Linked DNA regions of Struthio camelus. The protein of the gene in region 3 interacts with the protein of the main gene of each other region in a pairwise test. Links are inferred from orthologs where the notes say so. Each region holds a gene or a part of one and is shown on either strand. Other genes may lie near its edges.

Region 1 (8,017 bases), on a different chromosome or scaffold from region 3:
ATGTGATTTATAAATACAAAACAAAGAAAATAAATAGTAAGTCATCCACATCTGTATAGCCAACACTGAAAACCAGTCTGATAAAACAGAAAATAGAATCATATGCTTCCAAAGGAAAAAAAAAAAAAAAAAAAGAAAAATGTAGATGAACTTACTTTTTTGATGCAATGATAGGCAGGTTTATGTTAGTACCTATAAAAAAAAAATCATATATTGTTTCATTAATATAACTTTTTAAAACTATTGATATATTCTGTGGCATAATAAGCATTCATATCTTCAACACTGTATGCAATTTTGGTTTCGTTTCTATTCTCGTGAACACAGCAGAACTAGAAAAACTACAGAGGTAACAAAGATGAAAGAGCTTCCAGAAGAGGAACAGCTAAATACACTACTTTTTTCCAGCCTGTAAAAAGACAATTGCAGGAGGATATGGTAAAAATCCATTCATGTCTATGGTGACTTAAAAGTGTCATTGAGAAGATGGATAAGGAATGATAGTCTTTCTATACATGAACAAGAGCACATCACAGGTAATTACTTACTAGCAGATTCAAAATTTCACATACCCTTGCCGCACAGTTTTGAGGACACTAAAAACTGCTGATCAGAAACAAGAAAAAAATGGATAGTTATTGGGAAAAAAGTCCAAAGATGCTACCTTGACTTACAAAGGTCCCAAACAGCAAATCAGTGTAGGATGGAGAATGTACTAAGGAGTTATCAGTTCTGCTTTCCTGTTTTTTTTTTTTTTTTTTTTTAAACCTAGGCATCTTGTACTGGCCATCATCAGACACAAGGTAAGGGGACAGACACAACCTTGGTTTGACCCAGTATAGAAATTATTTTTGCATCTTCAATAAACAAGGAGAAATAAAAAAAAATACTATTAGAACAATGAGGAAAGTAGAAACGGGTACAATTTACCTTGCCACTTCGTAATCAGTAAAGGATCTGAAACGCTGTACATTGGTCGACTTCTTGAAAGAATACCTTTACCAAAATAGCCCTTCAAAGGAAAACAAAAATCTTTATTATATCATCAGATAAAAAAAACAAACGTCTTTCCAAATGATCAAACCTTTTCTACCATGATTTACTGAAACAGAATGAAATCATGCAGCATCTAAACTTGGTCTAAAGCTTGTTGCTTAGCTTCTGATAACTAGTCCAGTATTAAACACTTCTACTCAAATATTTAGCCAGTGGAGGACTTTAGGTCTTTTCCCCCAATTCTAAATATCTTTAAGATTAAATCTCCAAGCAAAACACCCTCCCCCTCCCCCCAAAAAAAACACCCTACCTGCGCATTAATACTGTGACAATGTGTAATAGGAAACAGGTATGGATAAAGTTATTGCATAAGAATGGCAACAGGTAATTAAACGTACCTAGATGTAAAGGCTTAATGTAGCTTATTTTACTCAAGACACCACACTGAAGTTAAAAGAATTATATAAGTACATTTAAAACACTGATATTACAACCTCCTGACCTTGAATAACATGAAAATGCTTTTGCAAGGTTGTATAAAATATGAGCAGGATAAATAAACATAAGAGACATTAAGTCTTTGCATCTGTTTTTTAGATCATGATGCCACTTCATTCCAAAACATATTTACTGGGCTAAAAATGAAACACTTTCCATATTTGATACAGAATATATGTTTGGTATTTATTTCAGAAGAGGAAGGAGATATGGAGGATTACTAGAGGCTAAAGGGGAAGGAAAGCAGAGAGGGAGGCCGATTTTAATGAGTATTTTTAACATACATGGAGCAGAACACTAGAAACATTGTGCAAATAGGGTACACCACCTTGCTATACAGCTGTTCAATATCTTCAGGGTTCCTCACAACAACATTGTTGTTAATAATTTCAGCCTGGTATATTCTGAAATCCTTGCCATCTACATCCACAGGAAAGGGAGATTCATATGACTCAAAAGTTCTTCTTTTCCTTCTTGGGGGTTGGAAAACAGCTTCTGCCATTTCCTAATATTTTCTTCTAAAGAGGAGAAAAATTTATTCTTCTAAAGAAACAAAACATATGTAGTGTTCAAGAATTACAGTTCACCCACTTTTACGTGTTTCAACAACATCTCCTCCTCAACAGCAAATTAGCAACAAGCCTACAGTATAATCCAAGTTTAATTCTGGAACTATTATGCCAGACAAACATAACAGAACAACTTCCTACAGTGTTATGCGCTACTCTGCTTTTCTTTGGCATTGCAGGGTCTTCTAAAGAGCAGGTATGGAGAGTCCTCGGCAAGGAGGGAACTTAAGATCGAAGGCAGGTGCACACAGAGGCAGCTGAAAGCGTTTTCAGGAATAAAGCATAGGTGAACAGCAGAACAAGGAGAATAAACAGAAACCACAGCACACAAGCGCCTAAACATAAAACTGCTTTGAATAATTACATGAACGAATTTGGAAAAAAAAAAGCAGCGACTGGGCAAGCTTTTCTTCTTTAAAGAGGCAAACCCTCTAGAGAGGGGAACGGGACACGGCAGGAGGCTTTCCGACAAGCCGGGCGGCAGGTAAAGGCCACCGTGACACGCGCACCCGCCGGGGCCGCCTTTTTACGTCTGCACGCCGCAAAACGGCACGAGGAGAGCACCGCGCGGTGGTGAGCGCCACCCTTACCGGCCCGCTCGGGGCGGGGGGAGCCGCCCTCACCCGGGGCCGGGAGGTCAGCCGATAACCACAGCCACACCGACCCGCCCACGCAGCGCGCGGCGCGGCCCGCCCGGGGCGCGGTGCTCGGCAGCCGGGCAGGGAGCGGGCCCCGCGGCCTGGCACGACCCGGCCCGGCCCGATCCGACCCCGCGGCCGCCGCGCCTCCGCCCGCCCGTCGCCATAGCGCCCGCCCGCCGCCGCACGCACGCACGCCCGTCGCCACGGTGACCGCCTGCCGCACGCACGCACCCGCCGCCGCCGCACGAGGAGAGCCGCGGGCTGGCGGGCGCCGGCAGGCCGCGCGTGCGCACGGAGCCCGGGCCCGAGCCCGCCCCCCGGCCCCGGCCCCGCCCCCTCTGCGGCCGTTGCGGCGGCGGTTGGCCGGTGGGAGGCGGTTTTGGGTGCGTGTTCGTCGCGCGGAGGCGCCGGCGGGGCCGGCTGGGAGCGGGGCGGCCGCGCTGTTCGGCTTCGGCGCGGCTCGGCGCTGTGAGGGGGCTGCGGGCCTCTGCCCCGAGGCGCGCGGCCGTGGGGGCGGGAGGTGTTCCTCAGGGCCCGCAGGGCCCCCGGCCTGGCGCAGAGACCTCCCGTGAGAGACTCAGAAGTAGGTTCCCTGTGAGAAAGGGAAGGCCTGGGCCCTGCGGGGGCGTTCCCAGGCTCCTCTGCCCCACAGCTCTGGGTTTGTAGCTGCTGCCAGCCTTGATACTGCGGTAACGGCTGCAGCCCGCAAACCGTCCTGTGCTGGCAATTTAAAAACAATAAAAGGAAGAGGAAATGACGTTTTTGAATGGAACACCCATTCTGGAACGAATGATGAGCTGCATAGTGAGGGACATTTGAGATACCTGGGTGGGTGAAATTTTACAGCCGTGGGAGGTGAGGGGAAGATACCATTTTCAGCTTGAAGCAATTGTTTTTGGCTGAGTAACAAACCCTTGACATTGCAGTGACTCGTGACTACTTAGGATAATGCAATACTACTTACACAACTTTAACAGAGATTGTGATTGTGCAGCTTATTACCAGAGTTGAATTCAGGGCAAAAAGGTAGTATAATTAAAGAAAAAAAAAAAAGCATCTTACCTGAATAAGATGAAAAGCATTCTCACTAGTAAGTGAGAGCAGACATCCCTTTTTCTGTTGTGATAAACAGTGAGCTGTTGCCGGTTTAGGCCTTGTTAATCAAAATCATAATGACAAATGCAACTACGACTGAGAAATCTTTTTCTTATTTTGAGGTTATATTGTGAGGGTCCACTAAAAAAAGAGGATGAAGAAATTTTAGTTCCAGGAGGATCGACTAGCTCAATAATTTATTATCATTATGGATAATTTCCCTTTACTTTAGCAGGCTATATGCTCTCCGGTGTATTTTAATCTCAGAAGGCCTCCTTTCCGTTCTCACTTGATGCTAGGCTCTCAGGTGAAAAATGAACTCATGCAAAAATCACATCACATTTCTGGAGTAATCAAAAAATCTGGGCTGTGCAGAGAAGTTGCAAAGCTTTGGTTGTTACCAGTGTCCAGGTCATCTGAGTTCAAAGTACAGGTTTATTTTTCTCATTTAGAAATGGAATTTATCATACAGATTTCTCACACTTTTGTTTCAACATGAAATAGAAACATCTGGGAACACAGTGAACGTAAAGTTCAAACTTCTACATTTTCTGTGTGAAACAAGCATATTATCTCTGATTATTAAATGTAGTCCTAGTAGATGAGATTTCATTAGTCTCATTTTTATATTGGCTGGTTATCAATAGATCAGTGAATTCACCTATGAAAAATGGTAAGACTACGTCACCCTTATGAGGTAGTGAGTTTCTGTTATTTCTGTTTTACAGACAGAATTGTGAGGCTCAGGGGGAGATGTAACGATTACAATGTCACAAAGGAAATCAGCAGCAAAACATGGGAATACTAAGCTGGTATTCTTACAGTTATTTCCTACAGAGGTCTACTTCATGTACCGTCTGGTGAGTGTTAATTTGTTTTGAACGTTAGTTCATTTACCAGGTGTTGAGGCTAAACCACAGGGACCCTGTTCCATTCTTGTCCCCAAAGTATACATTAATGCTCTGATAACTTCAGGTTCATTCTTAGAGCTCTGCTATTAAAATAGCTGTGAGTTAAAGCATTCTAGGTAACAACATGAAAATAAGCAAATATCAAATATGCCACTTCATTTCAAAATTCCATGTAGATTTGCCAAATCAAGTTGCTTTAAATGAAAGTAGAATTTATCTAGGATAGATATGTCTATATTTTCTTGCTGTGCAGACATACTGCAATGAGATGTACATTACAATGAGAGGTAGACACAACATAAAAAAGCTATAGGTCAGTTGCCTTCCTCCACATCTCATTATCTTCATACAGCCTTGAGATGGAAACCGCAGCATTCCCCATTCAGTCAATTAATTGAATCACACTCATATTTCTTCAAACAAATATGCAGACTACATAGCTGCTCCCATTTGTTTTCTGATTATAAGCCCAGATTGTTCTTCAACCAGAAATTTTGCTATCTGAAGGTCAAATTCTCTTTGAGTCATGGCAGTATTTTTTTTTTGAATGTATCAATAGTTGTACAGACATTTTCACAAATATCTGGATTTCCCTTTTATAGTGAGACAGCAAAAGGCTAAACAGCAGCTAGATGACCAGGCAATTGCTCTGAAAAACAAACCCTTAAGATTATAGTGAATCACAAATTGGGACCGAGTCAACAAATTGAAAAAAGGTATCATGCTAGAACTTATATACAGGAGTGCCATGTGTAAGATATATGAAGCAATTCATCAGTTCTGTGCATCACTGAGAGGACCTCAACTGAAGTAATAGGTCCAGTTATAAGAACAGTTCAAGATAAATGTAGAGCAATTGGAAAGAATCAAGAAGAGTGACAGGGGTGATCTATGAGGAAAGACTGAACTAACTCAGGCTAGAACTCTACTTTTTCAGGCTAGAAAAGGTAGAAGTGATAAAATAGACCGTTGCAAAGAGGGACAAAATGCATTGTTCTGCGTGACCACTACAAAATAATAGTAGGAACAAGGAGGTTAAATGGCAACAAGAGAGATTGAAGTTAGACAAGAAACAACTTTGTACCTATGAAGATAGATCAGAACTGGCTTTACCTAGAAAGGTTGTGTTAGGCCCCTTATTGGAAATTTTTAAGAGCAAGTTGGGCAAACATCTTCCAAGAACAGTTCAGATAAAGTTGATCCAGCCTTGAGACAAGAGACTGCCCTAAAAGGTCTTAAGATCCCTTTTATGGGAGTCTTCAGGATTCCTCATTCCAGGAGCTTATTTGATTTCTCTGCAGTTCAGCAGAAAATACAAAACTATACTGCTCTAGAGAGGCTGAAAGCCTCCAGCTTTTGTTAAATCATCTTTTGGATTTCCATTTAACAGTCTTTCAATTTCTGAATGTCTTTGAGAATACACTATTTCATTTTTGTGTGTTGCTTATCATTGCTTCTAATGCAAAGAGTACTCTATTGCTTACCATTTCCTCATACTCAGTTATTCTGTTGATCTGAATTATTCTCTTGAATTAAGGTCCAAACCAATATCAGGCTTCTGAAAAGGCTGATATGACCCTTTCTCCAAACCATGATGAGAAAAACCATTTGTAACCCTTCAGTTCTAGAAATACGTTGCCTTAAACTTTAATACAATTGCCTTTCCTGTGTCATTTTCAGTTGTACATTGTCTGACTCCCGATGTCTTGTTATTCACATTGTAATACTCAGAATTTCCTACAAAATTGTCCCATTTTGGGGACGCTCATGCCAGTTCATACACAGTAGTCCCTTTGTACTAACAATATTTGTTTCGTGGAAGAAGTTGCTATCTCCTGCTCTATGTGGTCGTAGAATTTCTTCAACCACCTCTCAACAGTCAGTGGTTGAGGAGTACAACTGAAAAATAGTTACAGTGGAAGGACATGCTGTCAATATCATGCTTATTAAACTCTTTCTGTGACCATGTATGTAGTAAGATCTTTCCTAATCTGCATGGTTTAGTGTTTGCAGTCAGGTACCCTCAGCCTTTCTGCAGTTTATGGTGTCCTTCCCCAATAACAGTCATATCAAAGTTCATCTGGAATCATACAGAAGAAATACGTTCTGTTAATACAGTGAGAGCTCATTTAATGTTGTATTAACCAATATTTAATATTAACTAATATTTAGCAGCTAATATTATGTATTTTTTATGCTGCAAAGAGTCTACCTTTCATCACTTCATTTAGCTTGGCGGTTTGGAACAATCTGATGAATAAGAAGTCCCAGGCACTTGTACCTCACCGATAGTAAAATTAAGTTGTCATATGCAGGCAAGTGCTAAGGAGTTTGGTTATCAAAAGTGGTTGTTTTCTGGATGTTTGGTGACTTCTATAAGGACTTGGGAGGTTAATTCCCAGTTCTCTCTGAGCCAAAACATACAGGCCAGGTACTCTTTAAGTACATATTTTACGTTCTTATCCTTATTAAAAGAAACAGAAATGCAAGCCTGTAAAACTATTTGCCTATGTAGCATTTTCTTGTATCTTCTCAAGGAAGTTAGTCATAAGGTTATAAACAAATAACCTATTCTAGTAGTGTCTTTAGTTAATTTTGGATTTCATACAAAAGAAATAAAAGTTTTGCATAAAATCCCATGGAATTGAAGTCAGGATTTGTCGTTAGGTTCATTTCTTTCTGTGGTTTCCACAGAATGTTTCTGTAAAGTTTTCTTAAGCCGTGCTTCTTGTAGTCCACAAGAGAAATGTTATGACACTTTCTTTAAAATAAAGCCCATTCCTTTCTCACAAGGTGATTTGAACAGTAGTTGGAGGATGGGCTGAAGTTATTTACATTAGCCAGTTCCAGTTTCCCCAGACTGACAGAAATTCCCATGGAAATTCTGGTTGCATTAACTTTGACAGAGATATGGGACTGTTTTCGGAAACTTGAAAAAAAACAGCTAGGGAATACTTTTCATTTTTATTAATATATGGTATCTTCATTTTGTTTATTAAAGAAATAAATCAAGGTTAGTTTCTGCTTAGTTTCAGATGGTTTTCACAGGAGACAAAAAAAGAGACGTTGGACAAATATTGGCCAAGCATCAACTCAGTAAGAAATCCCATAATGTCAGAAATCCCGAGGTGGACCGCAATAAAGTGAATAGCATGAGAAAAGAGAACATTAAAAATACTTACTTCAGGCATGGAAAATGCTTTTGTATTCGTGGAGTTTAAACACACTTCGATGAGGAATTCTTACAGAGACATTTGATCCAGCTGACATCCCATAACATTAGTGTATGGCTTGAGGGCTCTGTGCA
Region 2 (7,676 bases), on a different chromosome or scaffold from region 3:
GACTCCCTATTTTCTGCTTCTACTTCAGATCCATGAAGCGAATGTCCATGATGAGGAGGAAGTTCTTGGGCAGCGGGCGAGGGGCAGGCGACAGCACGGTGAAGACCTGGCGCTCCAGGTCCACGCCGGTGACCACGATGAAGCCGGCCACGCTCGTCTCCGAGATGTTGTCGTCGGGGCTGTCGGCCATGCTGACGCTCAGCAGGTGGTGCACCATGTCCCGCCCCGGCGTCACCGGCACCAGCTTGAGCTGGTTGTCCTCCTGCGACATGCCCAGGGGGAGGCAGGAGTCCGGGATGGTGGGAGCCCCCACCTTGTAGATCTTGACGTCAGAGAACTTGACGTCAAAGGCGTGGGGGTAGAAGCAACCCCGGAAGCCGTAGAAATACTCCCTGATGCGGTCGTCTCGGCACTCCCGCCGGAAGTCCTTGGAGCGCTCCACCACCCCACCGGATTTGGGGAGCAGCACCGTGCGCACAAAGTGGGGCAGGTCCCTCTTCAGCTCGTTGTAGAGCCGCTCTTGGTCCAGCACCACCACCACGTCCACCTCGAAGGCAGAGGCGGCGTGCACCAGCGCCTGGTACCCCGAGCCCTTCACCCAGCCGCACGTGTTGATGACGCAGCCGCTTACCGACGCTCGGCGGTTCACTTCACACCGCTGGTTGAAGACGTCTGCCAGGCGGGATGTGATCTGTGAGGAAGAAAGGGCAGAAATATTAGGACAGAGAGATCTCTTCGGGCACGCCAGGAGCTGAATCCCCCTTCCACCTGTACCCCCTTCTCAGGGCTGCTGCCATTAGGAGCCCCGGAGCAGACAAGATGGCAACACCTTCTCTGGCAGAGGAGGAACAGGGAGGAGACGGGATCCGTTGCTGCTCTGCACTCTGACCCCTCCACGCTTTCCCCAGCTGGGCTACCACAGTATTTCAGCATCCCAGATATCTCCCCTGCTGTGCTTACGCTTGCCGCCTCCTTTGAGATCCTCAAAGCCACAGCACGTGAGTAGGACCACATTGGTCCTGACTGGGTAAAAGGCTCAGGGGAGCAACTGAGAAGCTTCTATCCCCAAACAGCAAGAGACATTGGCAATGACAGACACTTTTTTTTTTTTTTTTTAAAGGAGGACATGTGAGCCTGGTCACCTTCTGCAGTCCATTTCTACCCAGCTCCCCATGCAGCTGTAGGGATGGTAGAAAGTACATCTCTGCCCACCCTTTTTCACATCTATTTATGGGCCTGCTGTCCACGAATGCATTAAGTCCCTCTTGACCCCGCCGATTCTGTCTGCCTCCGCAGCCTGCTGTGACAGCTGTGTACAGAAGAGCTTGTTTTTATTTGCTCTAAACCAATTTCCAGCTGGTTTCATCGGACGTCCCGTATTTCCTCTGTTGCAAGCTGCGGTGACTAACAGTTCCCCGTTTGGCTCACCTAGCAGCTGTACGATTTTGTAAACCCGTCAGACTCCCTCAGCCCTCTCCTCTCTGGACTGAAAGGCTGCGGCCTTCTTAGTCTCTCCTAACACAGCTACTCCATCCCCTTGATACAGTTACGCCTCTCTGCACCTTCTCAAACTTCACAACGTCTTTCTTGAGCAGGAGCGCCCGGAAGCAGGCACGACACTGAAGCGCACCATGGTTTTACGTAGCAGCAAAACAGATCAGAGTCTCCCAGAATAAGTAAGGCGGAAGGGAGCTCTAGCCCTAGCCCTAGCCCTGCCCCAAACAGGGCTGACTACCAAGCCAGATCAGGTTGCTCAGGGTTTAACCTGCAAAAGCCTCCAAAAGCGGTGCAGCCCCGTGCCCGGGCCCTACCGCAGGGCTGCACCGTTCCCAGACCCCCCCCCGGGCCCCCCCCCCATACTCACCTTATTGTACAGCTTGATGTTGGTGCCAGGCGTGGTGGAGCCGAAGTGATAAACCAGCGGGGCCTGCAGGGAGAAGCCCTCCTCCACGTCGGCAGGGCGCTCAATGTAGAGGGCCCCCATGGTGCCGGGGATGGAGACGGAGCCCTGGCCCACGTCCAGCTCCACAAAGGTGGGCCGGCGCCCCAGGCGCACGGCGTAGTTCAGCAGCAGGCGGCACACGGTCGACTTGCCCACGTCCGTGGGGCCCACCACCATGACGCGGGGCCCCCGCTCGTCCTCGCGCTCCGCCTGCCGGCGCATCTGCTCCAGGGCCGTGTGGGTGTTGAGGTAGAGCAGCATGGGGGTGTCCTTGGAGACGTAGGCCACCTCGGTGCGCCCGCTGAGCTGCACGGTGCAGCCGTGCCAGGTGAAGACGGCCACCTTGGCGCCGGCGTCGAAGGTGAACTTCTTGTTGCGGGTGAGCTCGGTGCCGAAGACCTCTGCCATGCCGGTGAGCAGCTCCAGCTGCACCGTCTGCGAGGCCTCCACCTCGAACCGCAACTCCGTCTCCCGCTCCAGCTCGAACTTGGCCACCTGCTTCTTCTCGTCGCCGCCATCGTCCGCCATCGCTTGGCCCTCTGCGGGGCAGCGCAGGCTGTCAGCGGCGGGGCACGGCAGCTCCTTCCCCAGCCCTGCTGGGGGAGCTGCCCCTGCTCCTTCCCCCCACCCAGCCCCAGCTCTGCCCGCACCACCTCAGCGTCCCCGACCCTCCTCCAGCCGGATTTGGGAATCCCTGGCCCGCTCCGGGGGGGGGTCCTCGGCCCATTTAGGGGGCCCCTGCCCGACTCGCGGGTCTCCAGCCTGCTCCAGGGGACCCCAGTCCACTTAGGGGGCCCCGACTCGCCTTGCGAGTCCCCGGCCCGCTCCAGGGGGCCCCCAGGCTTCCCCCGGCCCGCTCCAGGGGGTCCCCGCCCCAACCCCGGCCCGGCTCGGGGGTCTCGCCCTGCCCCAGGCGCGGGGGGGGGGGCACCCCCGTGGCCGGCCCGGCGCCTCCCCCCCCACCCTCTTACCGGGGCGCTCGCGGAGCCGGCGCACTTCCGGCCCCCGCGGGGGGGCGTCTCTAGGCCGCGCCGGAAGTGAGGTCACGCGGGCGACCCCGCGCCGGACCCATGAGGGGGCAAGTCGGAGGGGGCGTTGCCAGGGCACCCGCGCGCGGCGCCTCCTGGGTGACGCGTCCCCCTCGGCGGCCGCGCGGCCCCCTTCCCCCCCAGCGCGCAGGCGCGGCGGCGCGCGGCGCCCCCTGGGAGACGTAGTCCAGGGCGCTGCCCCGCGGGGGCCGATCGCGCTCCCGGCTCATTTGCATATATTTGCATGTCAGGCTTGGGACCTCCCCCTCCCCGCGCGCGCCGTGCGTCACGCGTTCTTTGGCATGCCATTTGCATCTCCTTAGAACGTGCCCGCGGCCCCGTGGGAAAGGCGCCGGGCTCATCTGCATCTCATTTGCATGCCATTTGCATGCCGCCCTCCCTTCCCTGCCCCGGGTCTCATCTGCATTTGATTTGCGTGCGGCCGGGGCGTGGGGTCCCGCCAGCGCCGCGGGGCCATCGGGCGCGCGGTGACGTCATGGCACGGGGTGACGTCATAGCGCGGGCGGTGACGTCAGGGGGACCGTGATTCCGACCCCTCCCCCCCCGCCGCCGGGACGAGACGGTGAGCACGGGGCCCCGGGAGGCCGTCCGCTTTCACCTCCCCCCCCCCAACCCACACACCCACTGCTGTGATGAGCTGGGCCGGTCTCAGCTGGTGGCGGCAGCAGGGTAGGGGGGTAACAGCCGGGGGGGGGGATGCAGGAGGGCGATGGGTGCTGGGCACGGTGCTCCCCGTTTGACCCCCGCCCCTTTTTTTGTTGTTGTTGCTGCAAGACCACCCTGGGCTGGAAATCCGTGATGAGTGCCGCCCCCCCACCCCACCCCCCGAGCCCACCAGCTCCCCGAAAAGCTGTCCCACCGGCGCTCATGGCGCCTCTCCCCGTCCCACATGGTGAAGGAGAAGGGCTGGGAGTGAGGACCCGGCGGCGTCACCCCCCACCCCGGCCCACCCCGGCCCACCCTTGTACCAGGAATAAAGGCTTTTTTTCTAGGAAAGCGCCAGGCGTGCGTGGCCCCCGGGGCTCTGCGCCTTTATTGGGGCTGGGCAGGGAAATGGAGGCCCTGGGGGGGGAGGGAGGGAGGAAGGGGAGGAGGAGGGTGGGAAGGGGAGGAGGGAGGGGAGGAGGAGGAGGGTGGGAAGGAGGGAGGAAGGAGGGAAAGAAGGAGGGAGAGGAGGAAGGGGAGGAGGGAGGGGAGGAGGTAGGAAGAAAGGGAGAGAGAAGGGGAAGGAGGCAGGTGGGAAGGAGGGAGGGAAGGAGGAAGAAAGGGAGAGAAGGAAGGAGGAGGGTGGGAAGGGGGGAGGGAAGGAAGGCGGTGGGGAGGTGGGAATGGAGTAAGGAGGGAGGGAAGGAAAGGAGGGAGGGGAAGAAAGAGGGTAGGAAGGAGGCAGAGGAGGAGGGAGGGAGGAAGGAGGGAGGCAGGGAGGGAAGGGGGCAGAGGAGGAGGGAGGGAGGGAAGGGGCAGAGGAGGAGGAAGGGAGGAGGAAGGGAGGGAAGGAGGCAGAGGAGGAGGGAGGGAGGAAGGTAAAGAGGAGGGAGAGGAGGAGGAGGGTAGGAAGGAGGCAGAGGAGGAGGGCGGGAGGGAGGAAGGAGGCAGGGAAGCGGCGGGCAGGAGGGCCGGCCACGGGCGCCGGAGGAACCGGGTGCCGGTGGGGGGGACGGGCGTCAGGGCCGGGGGTCGCTGAGGCGGCCCATGAAGAGGGGGAGCCGGCGCGCGTCGTCCCACAGCACGAAGAGGAAGGGCCGCAGGGCCTCGAGGACGTGGGCGGTGCGGGCCAGCGAGGTGGCCACGGCGGCCGCCGCCTCCACGCCGGCCTCGTCCAGCGCCAGCACGGCCCGGTGCCGCGCCGTGTCCACCGCCACCGCCTGCCCCCGCGCCAGCCCGCACAGCTCCGCGTCCAGGAACAGCCCGTAGTCTGCGGGGACGGGCGTCAGGCGGCGCCGCGCGGCGGGGGGACCCCGGGGGACCCAGGGGCACAGGGACACCGGGGAGCGCAGGAGGATACTGGGGAACCTGGGGACTCCGGGGGCACTGGGGACACCGGGGGGGGGGGGACACATGGGGCACCCGGGGACACCGGGGATGCTGGGGACACACCAAGATGCCAGGAGGCACTGGGGAAACCAGGGATACTGGGAGCACTGAGGACACCAGGTTGCTGGGGGACAGCAAGGGAAACCTGGGACGTTGTGGGCCCTGGGGGACATCAGTGGACACTGGGGTGCTGGGGGACATTGGGCCACCAGGAATACTGAGGGCACACCATGGGCACTGGAAGACATCAAGAGATAGAAGAGTCGGGGGGGGAACATTGGGGGCACCAGGGTGCTGAGGGACACCATGGGCACTGGAGGACATCAAGAGATAGAAGAGTCGAGGGGGGACATTGGGGGCACCAGGGTGCTGAGAGACACCATGGGCACTGGAGGACATCAAGAGATAGAAGAGTCGAGGGGGGACATTGGGGGCACCAGGGTGCTGAGAGACACCATGGGCACTGGAGGACATCAAGAGATAGAAGAGTTGGGGAGGGGGGAACATTGGGGGCATCAGGGTGGTGAGGGACACCATGGGCACTGGAGGACATCAAGAGATAGAAGAGTCGGGGGGGCATCGTGGGCACTAGGGGACATCAAGGGACAGGAGGGCTTGGGGGGGACGCTGTGGGCACCAAGGAACCCTGGGACACGGAGGGTCTCTGTGGGCCACCAAGGAGCACCAAGGGGGGATGAGGACAAGGGGGGCCCCAGGGACAGGGGAGGGGGCAGCTGCACGGGGCCATGCAGGGTCAAGGGCCTGGGAGGTGCCAGCCCCCTCCTGGAGGGGGCATCACTTCCTGCACAGGGTGTGATGTCATGCCGGGCTAATTCCTGCACGGGAAGTGATGTCATGCCTCCCCCCCCCAGAAAATAATGACCCCTCGCAGGTTGGGGGGGGTCATACTCACCCATCTCATGGACGATGGCCATGACGTCCTGGGAGAGGTCGAGGCGGAAGCGGGGCAGGGCCAGCACGGTGGCCCGGGGCGGGATGGCGGCCGCCTTGTGCAGGAGGGCGAGGAAGGCGGCGGGGCTGAGCGCCCGCTCCAGCGCCTCCAGCGCCCCCAGGGCGCCCTGCGGCAGCAGCAGCACCAGGCTCAGGCCCTGGCTCAGCTGGAGCCGCCCCACCTGCGGGAGGGATGGACGTCAGCGCTGGCGTCCCCCAGCAGCAGTGCGGTGCTCTGCAAGGGGGCGGCCGGCCGTGGCCGCTGCCTGCCCCGCGGGCTGCTACAGGCAGCCAAGTCATGACCCAGCATGGCTGCTAGTTGGCTCTATGGGAAGTGAGGTCATGACCCAGCATGGCTGCTAGTTGGCTCCACAGGAAGTGAGGTCATGACCCAGCATGGCTGCTGCTGCTGGGCTCTATGGGAAGTGAGGTCATGACCCAGCATGGCTGCTGCTGCTGGGCTCTATGGGAAGTGAGGTCATGACCCAGCATGGCTGCTGCTATACTCCACAAGAAGTGAGGTCACAACCCAGAATGGCCCCTGCTTGGCTCCTTAGGAAATGAGGTCATAACCTAGCATGGCCGCTGCTTGGTTCTGCAGGAAATGAGGTCACGGCCCAGCATGGCTGCTGCAGGCCCTGCGGGAGGCGAGGCCATACCTGGGCCCGCAGGCTGGGCTCGATGAAGGAGGTCACGGGGTACTTCTTGCTGGTCATGGTGGGGACGAGAACGGACGGGCGCCCTGGGCGCAGGAAGGGCTGCGGCATGGTGTCCTTGACCTGGAACGGCGTCTGCCACTTGCCTGTGGGGACAGGGCGGCCACGGGAGGCTGCGGGGGCGCCCGCGGGGGGCTCCCAGGGCGGGGGGCTCCTTGTTGGACCTCCGCGCCACCGAGGACACTTGCCGCGCACGGGCCGCAGCTCGCCCAAGGCCAGGCTCTAGGGTGGATGCCAGGGCCAATGGCAGAGCCAAGCCCCGGAGCAGGTCCCAGGGCAGGTCCCAGAGCAGATTCCCAGAGGAGGTTCCAGGGAAGGTCCCCAGGGCAGATCCCAAGGCTAAGCCCCAGAGCAGGTCCCAGAGCAGATTCCCAGAGCAGGTCCCAGGGCAGATCCCAAGGCAGGTACCAGAGCAGGTCACAAAGTAGATCCCCAGGGCAGATCCCAGGGCAGATCCCAAGGCCAATCCCCAGAGCAGGTCCCAGGACAGGTCCCAGGGCAGGTCCCAGAGGAGACTCCCGGAGGAGGTCCCAGGGCAGATCCAAGACCAAGCCCCAGAGCAGGTCCCAGGGCAGGTCCCAGGGCAGGTCCCAGAGCAGACTCCCAGAGGAGGTCCCAGGGCAGATCCCAGGGCAGGTCCCAGAGCAGACTCCCGGAGGAGGTCCCAGGGCAGATCCAAGACCAAGCCCCAGAGCAGGTCCCAGGGCAGGTCCCAGAGGAGGTTCCCAGGGCAGATCCCAAGGCTGATCCCCAGAGCAGGTCCCAGGGTAGATCCCAGAGGAGGTTCCCAGGGCAGGTCCCGGGGCAGGTCCCGGGGCAGGTCCCAGGGCAGGTCCCGGGAGTGGCAGGCCAGGCCGTACCCTGGAAGTAGACAGCGCTGAGCAGCACCAGCTGGGGGTCGGGGGGCAGCTCGTCGAGGAGGCGCGGCAGGCGCCCCTGGGTGGCATCGCGCACCCACTTGTTGATGCGCAGCAGGTCGAGGCT
Region 3 (7,101 bases):
ATTATTATCTGCTTTCTATATGAAATCAAGTACTTCAAGGTATATTTAAGGTCTGTCAAATTCTGTTTAAAGTGATTGCCAAGCCTTCCCTTCATATATCCTACTATAAGCAGTTTAAAAATGTCTCTACAACCTAGGAGTTAAATATGTTTCTTTATATGTTTCTAAATATGTTTCTTGAGATACTTTCCCGCTTGCTGAGAAACATATTTAAAGTATAGTAGTTAGACAGTTGTATGCTGAGCTACTGCTAACCCATGACAACTGAGTTGTTGCACAGAGATGTGAACATAGAGTTAAGCGATTGTGGTAACACCATATGTAATCTCAACTCACGTAAGAATTCAAGCAGTAGCCTGCTCACAGAGCTCAAAACATCCATTTCTGTCCCAGATTACACAGAGCATTTGAGCCCAAAATCTTGTGGTACAAGGACGCGCTTCACAGGTTGCAACAAAGTTGAAGCTGACAGAGCACGTTACCCATCTCAGACACCCTGTTTTCCAAACATCACCATCTATCAGAGTATAGATAAAGTCTGAACCACAAACAGCTGAGGCACAGCTGGTTTCTGCAGAGTTACTAAGATATTTCCAAACACTGTCTCAGGTGTTGTAGGGTTTGTTAAACAAAGGGATTAAAGGAGGCAGCTGTACCTGGCAGTGCAGCTTAGCTTGAGTATACAGCAGGCAGCTTGCAATTCCCACCTGGGTCTGCCTTGCACATTACACAAAACCAGAAAGCAATCTCAAGTCCACGCTTCACACTATTTTCTCCTAAAATACTATTTGCCTATTTACACAAAGTTCCTCCAAGAGTTAACTGCAAAGGACCTGTGATTACAAGGACTGCACAAACATAACTTGGATATAGTGTGTGTGGGGGGGGGGAAGCTGGAAAGGGATCATGAGTCAAAACCTGCTGGCCCCAGAGTGCCTCTGCTCCAGCTTGCACAGAGCACCCAGGCTGCTCTCACTAGATGGCAACACGAGACCTAGCAACTAGCTGCTGCTCAGAGGTGTCCATCTCACACCTTCAGCCCTAATAGCCCTTTTACAATTTATAGTTTCAAAATTAAAAACAACAAACACAAAACAACTACAGTTTACCTTTTCTGCGAGCACGTCGGGCCAACCCATGCTCCTGGAAGATCTCACGGCACTGGCACATTCAGCGTTTCATCTCTCCAGATGAATTGGAGAAGCTTTCCCATGGGGCGAGGAGCACCCCTGGGGGAGCAGCCCCGGTGCCAGCTCCCCCAGCCCCTCGCTGGCTGGGCACCAGGGTGGTGAGCTGGGGCTCTGGTGCCACAGGCCTGAGCTCTCTCTCCCTGGCCTCACGCCTAGCTACGTTGCAGCCCAAAAGCCTCACCAGAGCAACCCCTCACTTAGAGTCCTCTTTTTTTCACCACGCAATTGCCTCCTCACGGCAGCCAAACTCTTTCACCCACCATTTTTAGCTCAAAGGAGAACATTTTAAACTCTTCCATCTTTTCACAACACTGCCACAGAGAGGCTTGAAATGCTGTAAAAGCCCCATCCAGCACAGGCCATTAGCCATTTTTACACTTTTCTGCCATGCACAGCTTCTCCACAGAGGATTCACTAAGGTCCCAAGTAAGGTAAGGAGGAAAAAAAAAAAATCCCCCACTCAAGGAAAAGAGCTGCACCACAGTCCTAGTTTTGAGGTAGCTATAATAAACACCTCCCATCAGAAATTCAAACTTGGAAACAGAAAAATATCTTGCTAGAGGTAGGGAGAGGAAAAAAAACACCCTCTCCTTCCTTCCCTCTCTCCCTCCCATCTCACTCTTCATTTGTAAGGCACAAGAAGAAAGCACAGCCCCACCGGGCTCACCTGCACCCAGCTGCTGAGACTTGGCCAATTAGGGGTTGTTAAGAGGCTCCAGCTGGGGAGAGCAGGAGTCCCCTAGGGACAAGGCCGTGTTGGTGCCCCTGGGGGGAGGAACAAGACCTCCTGTGACAGCTACAAATCTTAGTATTGAGCAGAAACGTACACTGAAATTAATCTTGACATTTCTAGGTCTTGCAATCACAGCGAGTGACAAAAGCAAATTCTGGATCAGAGTATTTGCTGCAGCAATTTAAACGTTTCTATTTTAAGGGACGACTGAGTTAAACAAAGGGGTGACAGCCTGTAAGTTGAAAGCAACAGTATGTGGTGTTCTAGGATTATGTTAAAATCAAGCAGGCAGAATGTCCTCCAAAATACATATTTTTAGTAAATCAAGGAGGGAAAGTGCTGCAGCTTTCCACAATCTCTGTGTTCAGTCACTGGCTTCGCTCCTTTAGGTTGAAATGACTAAACCACGGCTCCTGGGGGGTTGGTGGGCTGCGGCCTGGTGGGGGCTGGCCCTGGGAGGTGGCACCCAGAGCCCTCGCTTGGTGGGTGCTGCCACATGGGAAGCCCCCCTCGCCCATCCTAATGGGGCCAGGAGATGCCCTGGGGCCCTCTGCTGAGCTGTGTGCCCCCTGCCGCAAGCCCTCCTCCCCCATGACCTGCCCCCAGGTACTGGGGACTAGCAACAACGAGCAAAATAACTTCACCGTCCTGCAGGAGGTGTAAGGGTCAGTTCATTGAGGGGGAAATAATAAGGTAGGAAGTGAAAATTAAGCCATTCAGCGGAAAATATAGAGGAACGGTTTTTGCATTCATTCCCCTATGCTGGCATTTTGTCCAAGTACTATTATGGAGAAACTGCAGGGGGAACCAAGGACTTTGGTGGGGAATTTTCTTACTTGAGGGTAACTGACTCTTGCGAGCTATCCCACAGCAACCAGACGCAGGCTTGAGGTGAAACTTGAACCTTTGGTGAGCCTCCCTGCCAGGTTAGTTCATGCACTCCCTCAGTAGCAAATACAGCTTCGTCAGCCAGGTTTCTAGTTTTACAGCCTGGCTGCACGCTCAGCGAAACCGTGCTGCAAGGACACCCCGCTGGCCTCCGTTTACGGCCAAATCAGAAGAAACAGTGACACCTGCCGAAGAGAGAAACCACTTTCCCATGGCACCAGAGCCTGTTCTCAGGGGGCTGGAGCACAAAAAGTGCCCAAATTTGCCCCGGTTCAGGTGTGAACCAGGCACAGCTGCAGCTGGTGGCTCTGAAACAGTCAGCGAAAGAGCTCAGCAAATCTTGCTGTTGGCAGCTTTAAAATAAATCCACAAGCAAGGCTTGTGATTTCAGCAGTTTGGCACGGTTTCAGTTTTATCGGCCTTTGCCCCCTTTGCTTGAATCTTCATTATTAAGTACAAGACGTCAGCCCATCTGTGTGCAGGCGTGCTGAGGTACGGCCAGGTTATACGTGGGGCTAGCTGATTACTTCTGAATCAACATCCTCTCTGTAGGTTGTCAAAAAGCCCTTGACGCGTTATTTTCTGAGCAAGCTTGGCGCTGTACAGAGGCCGGCTTCCTTAAATTACATTTCCAGTCTGGCTGGCACACCTGACTGCAAGCGAGTGCTAAAACCCCAGGAATTAAAATCACCGCTGGCCACGCGAACATTGCTGCCAAAATCCTGGCGCTGAATCCGTACGCTCCGAGAGGGCACGGACTGAATTTGGGTGATGGGCAAGGCCCTCCGAGCGCCTTGGTTAAGGGCCAGCAGCAGCAGGCCTTGACACTCCCCTGCTCGGCCTCTTGGGGCCTGTTTCTTCCCTGCACGCAGGGTCCAGCGCCACTGCACTGAGGAGGACCCGACGAGCCACGAGCGGGCAGCGCAGCAGCACCGACGTCTATGGGAAACGGCGGGCAGCAGCGAGCCAACTTCCCGGTGTCCGGGGCAGTTTTCTTCAGGATAACGACGGTGCTCGCATATTTCACAAGCCACATTTTGTGAGGCCGGTGCGTGGCTCCAGCGCACGGCTCCGCGCCCCTCAGGACCCCCCTCAGGTGCCCAGAGCCAGACCCTGAGGCGGCGCCGCGCCGCTCCCAGCCGCTCCCAACCGGTCCCAGCCGGTCCGGGCCGCTCCGAGCCTGCCGCGCCGCGCAGTCCCCCAGCCCCGCAGGGGGCGCGCTAACCCTCGCGCCGCACCCCCCCCCCCCGCCCGCCCGGCGCTAGGACCCTGCGGAGCCGCGGCGGAAGCGGCTGCCCGCGGCGCGCGCGTCCATGGAGCCGGGCGGCTCGCGCCGCCTCAGGTACGAGGGGCCGCGAGGGCGGGACGGGCCTGAAAGGGGCGGTGCGCGCGCCTCCGCCCCCGGGGCCCTGACGGGGCGGGTGGGGGGTCCCGGGCGGGGGGAGGCGGCCGAGGCGGCGGCGGCGGCGGCGGGGGGGAGCGCACCGCAGCGCTCTGGGGCGGGTGGCTCTGCCCGGGCCCGGCCTGCAGGGAGGGCGCCGTCGGGGCGGGGGGTGAGGGGCGTTCGGCGGCCTGACGGCGCCCCCTCTGCCGCCCGCAGCACGGCGGAGCTGCTGGCCGCCCGCGCCCGCAAGGCCCCGCAGCGCTCGCACGGCCAGAAGGACTTCGCCCCCGACGGCTCCGAGGAGCAGGCGGAGAAGCTGCGCCGGTGCCGGGAGGAGCAATGGCAGCTGCTCTGCGAGGAGCGCGTCGAGCGGCTGTGAGTGTCTCCGGCGGCGGCGGCGGCGGAGCCCGGCGGCGGGGCTGAGGCGCGGAGCCAGTGCCTGCCCCGGCTGCTTTGCCGTTGGGCGTGGATCGCCCCGTTATTAACGGAGCTGGCTTAGTTCACGAGGACGGAGCTGATAACTGTGAACGCAGGGAACTCCCTCACGCCCTCGCTCGTAGCTCCCTAGCCGGAGCAGCAGCCGCCCCGGCTGTGCCCTCCGGGCAGAGGGTTACGCTGGTACGCCAGTGGCTTCCAGGGAGGCGTTCAGAAAGCTCCTCCAAGGGTCCCTAGTTTTCTCAGGCGCGTACGTAGTCCTTCAGTCCAGGTCTGCATGTGGCAGCTGCTGCCCGCAGATGCAGTTCAAGTTGTACAGCCCCTTGTTGATGCTCGTGTGTGTCTGTGGCCTTGTACGGATTTGGTTGACTCCCGGTGTCCCGGGTTTATCAGCTCTGGTAGATCCCACAGCACTACCAGTCTCTGAAGTTCAGTTATCAGTTCCTGGGAGACTTTCACACGCTCTCAGCACACGCTTTTCCTCTCTTTGGCCTGCTTTTTTTCTGGTAACTAGTTTCTCCATCCACACCAGTCAGTAGTTGCTAAAAAGCATTCAGGCAAACTCACACTGCAGGGACCTTTAGGATGTTGCTTTGAGAAAGGGGACCTCCAGCAGACAGGCAGGACAGACGGGGTGCACTGTTACCTTCCTTCCGCTGTGGTCAGAAGCAGATTTGTTTAAGTACGTGTGTAACTGCACGTTTGCGGCTGTGCTGGAAATTGTGGTACTGACCAAGGATTCAGAGCAAACCCATGGCAGGCCCCACAGGTCTCATCTCCTGCTTCCTTGATCCAGCCACCAAAAATGTGCGTCTTCAAAGTCACCCTGTGTTTCCTCTCTGCTAGTAAATTCTCCCTACAAGGCCGTGCACTTTGCTTTGTGGGTGGGATACAGCAATTTGAGACTCTGTCCTGGCAGCATCTGAACAATCTTGTATGATATACTATGGATCAGTTGGGGCCCCACGTCTCCAGCAGGCCTCTGTGTCTGTGGGCAGACATTTGTGGTGCTAGTTTTAAGACACTGTTAACCAGTTGGTGATAAAATCCTTAATGAATACTGCTAAATCCAGAGGATGAGGTCTTTCTGAGGCCTTGCTCTGTAAAAGTGCCAGCTGGAAGTCTGCTGCCTTTCGACACCTTCCTGCACTTGTTGCGTTGCTACCACAGGAGATGGTTGTGTTACATCTGCTGGTAATAACAAGCTAATCTTTAACCTTCTCAGGGGCAATCTGGTGAAAGCTGAGTGGAAGCCAGGACAGGGTATCGTGGAGCTGCAGTCCCCTGCGGTGAGTCTGCTGCAGAATGTCCTCAATACCTTCATCTCCAGCTGGCGATTGCAGACTCCTTCATCTGCTTCTTAAATGGGAGAGAGCCTGGCTGTCAGCAAAGAATGTCCACAGCCCATCACAGATTTGTGCTTTTGTTCCAGGGGAAGTTCTGGCACACCATGGGGTTCACAGAGCATGGCAAACAGTGCCTGCTGCCCGAGGAAGCTCTCTATCTGCTGGAGTGTGTAAGTAGGATGCCCGTGCGTGGATGGGGGCCCTGGGTTCTTCCTGAATAACTGAAGGAACTCTGGTAGCTGGACACTTTTAGAGTGAAGTCTGGAATCACTTGACAGATGTTGGTCACTCCTGCAGTTTGAGTAGCTGATAAACACCTGGTTCTCCTGGGACTGTCTCTTTTAGCCCGGTAGTTGATGGAGCTGTTTGCAGGCCATGGAGTATGTAGTACTCTAAAATGCTCTTTGTGTCCTTGACACTGGATGTCAGTTGGATCTGTGGCCAGGTTATCCAGCTGGTATCAAGTTGAACCCACTCCTATGTCAACATGACAACAGAATCTAGGAAGGTGTTTGGATGATCGGAATTTTTGTTACAATAACAGTGGTAAGTCAGCACTTTTATCAGAAGGAAGGAAGCGTAAGGAACGTACTTACCAAGTTTCCTGCTGAGATTTCTCTTCTTGCCTAGTGAGGGTGATAAAACACAGGTATTTATATATCAGTTACTACTTTACCCAAATCTGTGTATCAGGGCTTGGATTTCCACAATCTAGGAAGACTCAGTGTTCTGGGAATTTCTGGAAACCAGGTCACACCAGTATCTTACCGTCTCTTGCAGGGGTAAATTGGAAAAGATTTGACAATGAGAAATCTTTTTCCTCAGATATGGTATACTGGTAATGAGGACATAGGAGACTGGTCAGTGCCTGCTCTGTCATAAGTTGATTTCCTCCCTTATCCAACATATTTTACGTATTCTGCAGTAACAAGGTTCACAAGTTCGACAGCAGTCTGTTTTTCTGTACTTCTCTAAGAAGCTGACAAGAATTAGTAAAGCTAATGTGGCTGAGAGGGGAATGAGACCAAGTTGCTCTTCAGCGCTCCCCTGCTTGGAGAAATGTCTCTGGTAATTTGACAATAGATCATAAACAAACGATCATAAACAATAGATCATAAACAAATT

What was found.
Region 1: the proteins of TSEN54 (region 3) and TSEN2 interact in a two-hybrid assay, tested with the Homo sapiens proteins (2 studies listed by BioGRID and IntAct). The two-hybrid records come from large-scale screens. The link is inferred for Struthio camelus from reciprocal best matches to the Homo sapiens genes TSEN54 and TSEN2.
Region 2: the proteins of TSEN54 (region 3) and CLP1 interact in binary tests that used the Homo sapiens proteins (3 or more experiments, as listed by UniProt). The link is inferred for Struthio camelus from reciprocal best matches to the Homo sapiens genes TSEN54 and CLP1.

What each region holds. Positions count from the first base shown.
Region 1 is NC_090955.1:20,025,456-20,033,472, forward strand, and holds the start of TSEN2 (tRNA-splicing endonuclease subunit Sen2), read right to left. Parts: upstream 3,045-8,017; 5' UTR 2,936-3,044; intron 2,911-2,935; exon of another isoform or gene 2,894-2,910; intron 2,836-2,893; exon of another isoform or gene 2,654-2,835; intron 2,038-2,653; exon of another isoform or gene 2,013-2,037; 5' UTR 1,997-2,012; coding exon 1,823-1,996; intron 1,013-1,822; coding exon 931-1,012; intron 193-930; coding exon 156-192; intron 1-155.
Region 2 is NC_090946.1:7,501,616-7,509,291, forward strand, and holds the start of CLP1 (polyribonucleotide 5'-hydroxyl-kinase Clp1), read right to left. Parts: upstream 3,073-7,676; 5' UTR 2,914-3,072; intron 2,482-2,913; 5' UTR 2,471-2,481; coding exon 1,865-2,470; intron 692-1,864; coding exon 20-691; 3' UTR 1-19. Other genes in the region: SERPING1 (plasma protease C1 inhibitor), read right to left, coding at 4,656-4,906, 5,939-6,158, 6,636-6,778, 7,553-7,676. UniProt on the Homo sapiens protein: Polynucleotide kinase that can phosphorylate the 5'-hydroxyl groups of double-stranded RNA (dsRNA), single-stranded RNA (ssRNA), double-stranded DNA (dsDNA) and double-stranded DNA:RNA hybrids. dsRNA is phosphorylated more efficiently than dsDNA, and the RNA component of a DNA:RNA hybrid is phosphorylated more efficiently than the DNA component.
Region 3 is NC_090960.1:8,480,337-8,487,437, forward strand, and holds the start of TSEN54 (tRNA-splicing endonuclease subunit Sen54), read left to right. Parts: upstream 1-4,068; 5' UTR 4,069-4,124; coding exon 4,125-4,153; intron 4,154-4,411; coding exon 4,412-4,570; intron 4,571-5,855; coding exon 5,856-5,919; intron 5,920-6,062; coding exon 6,063-6,146; intron 6,147-7,101.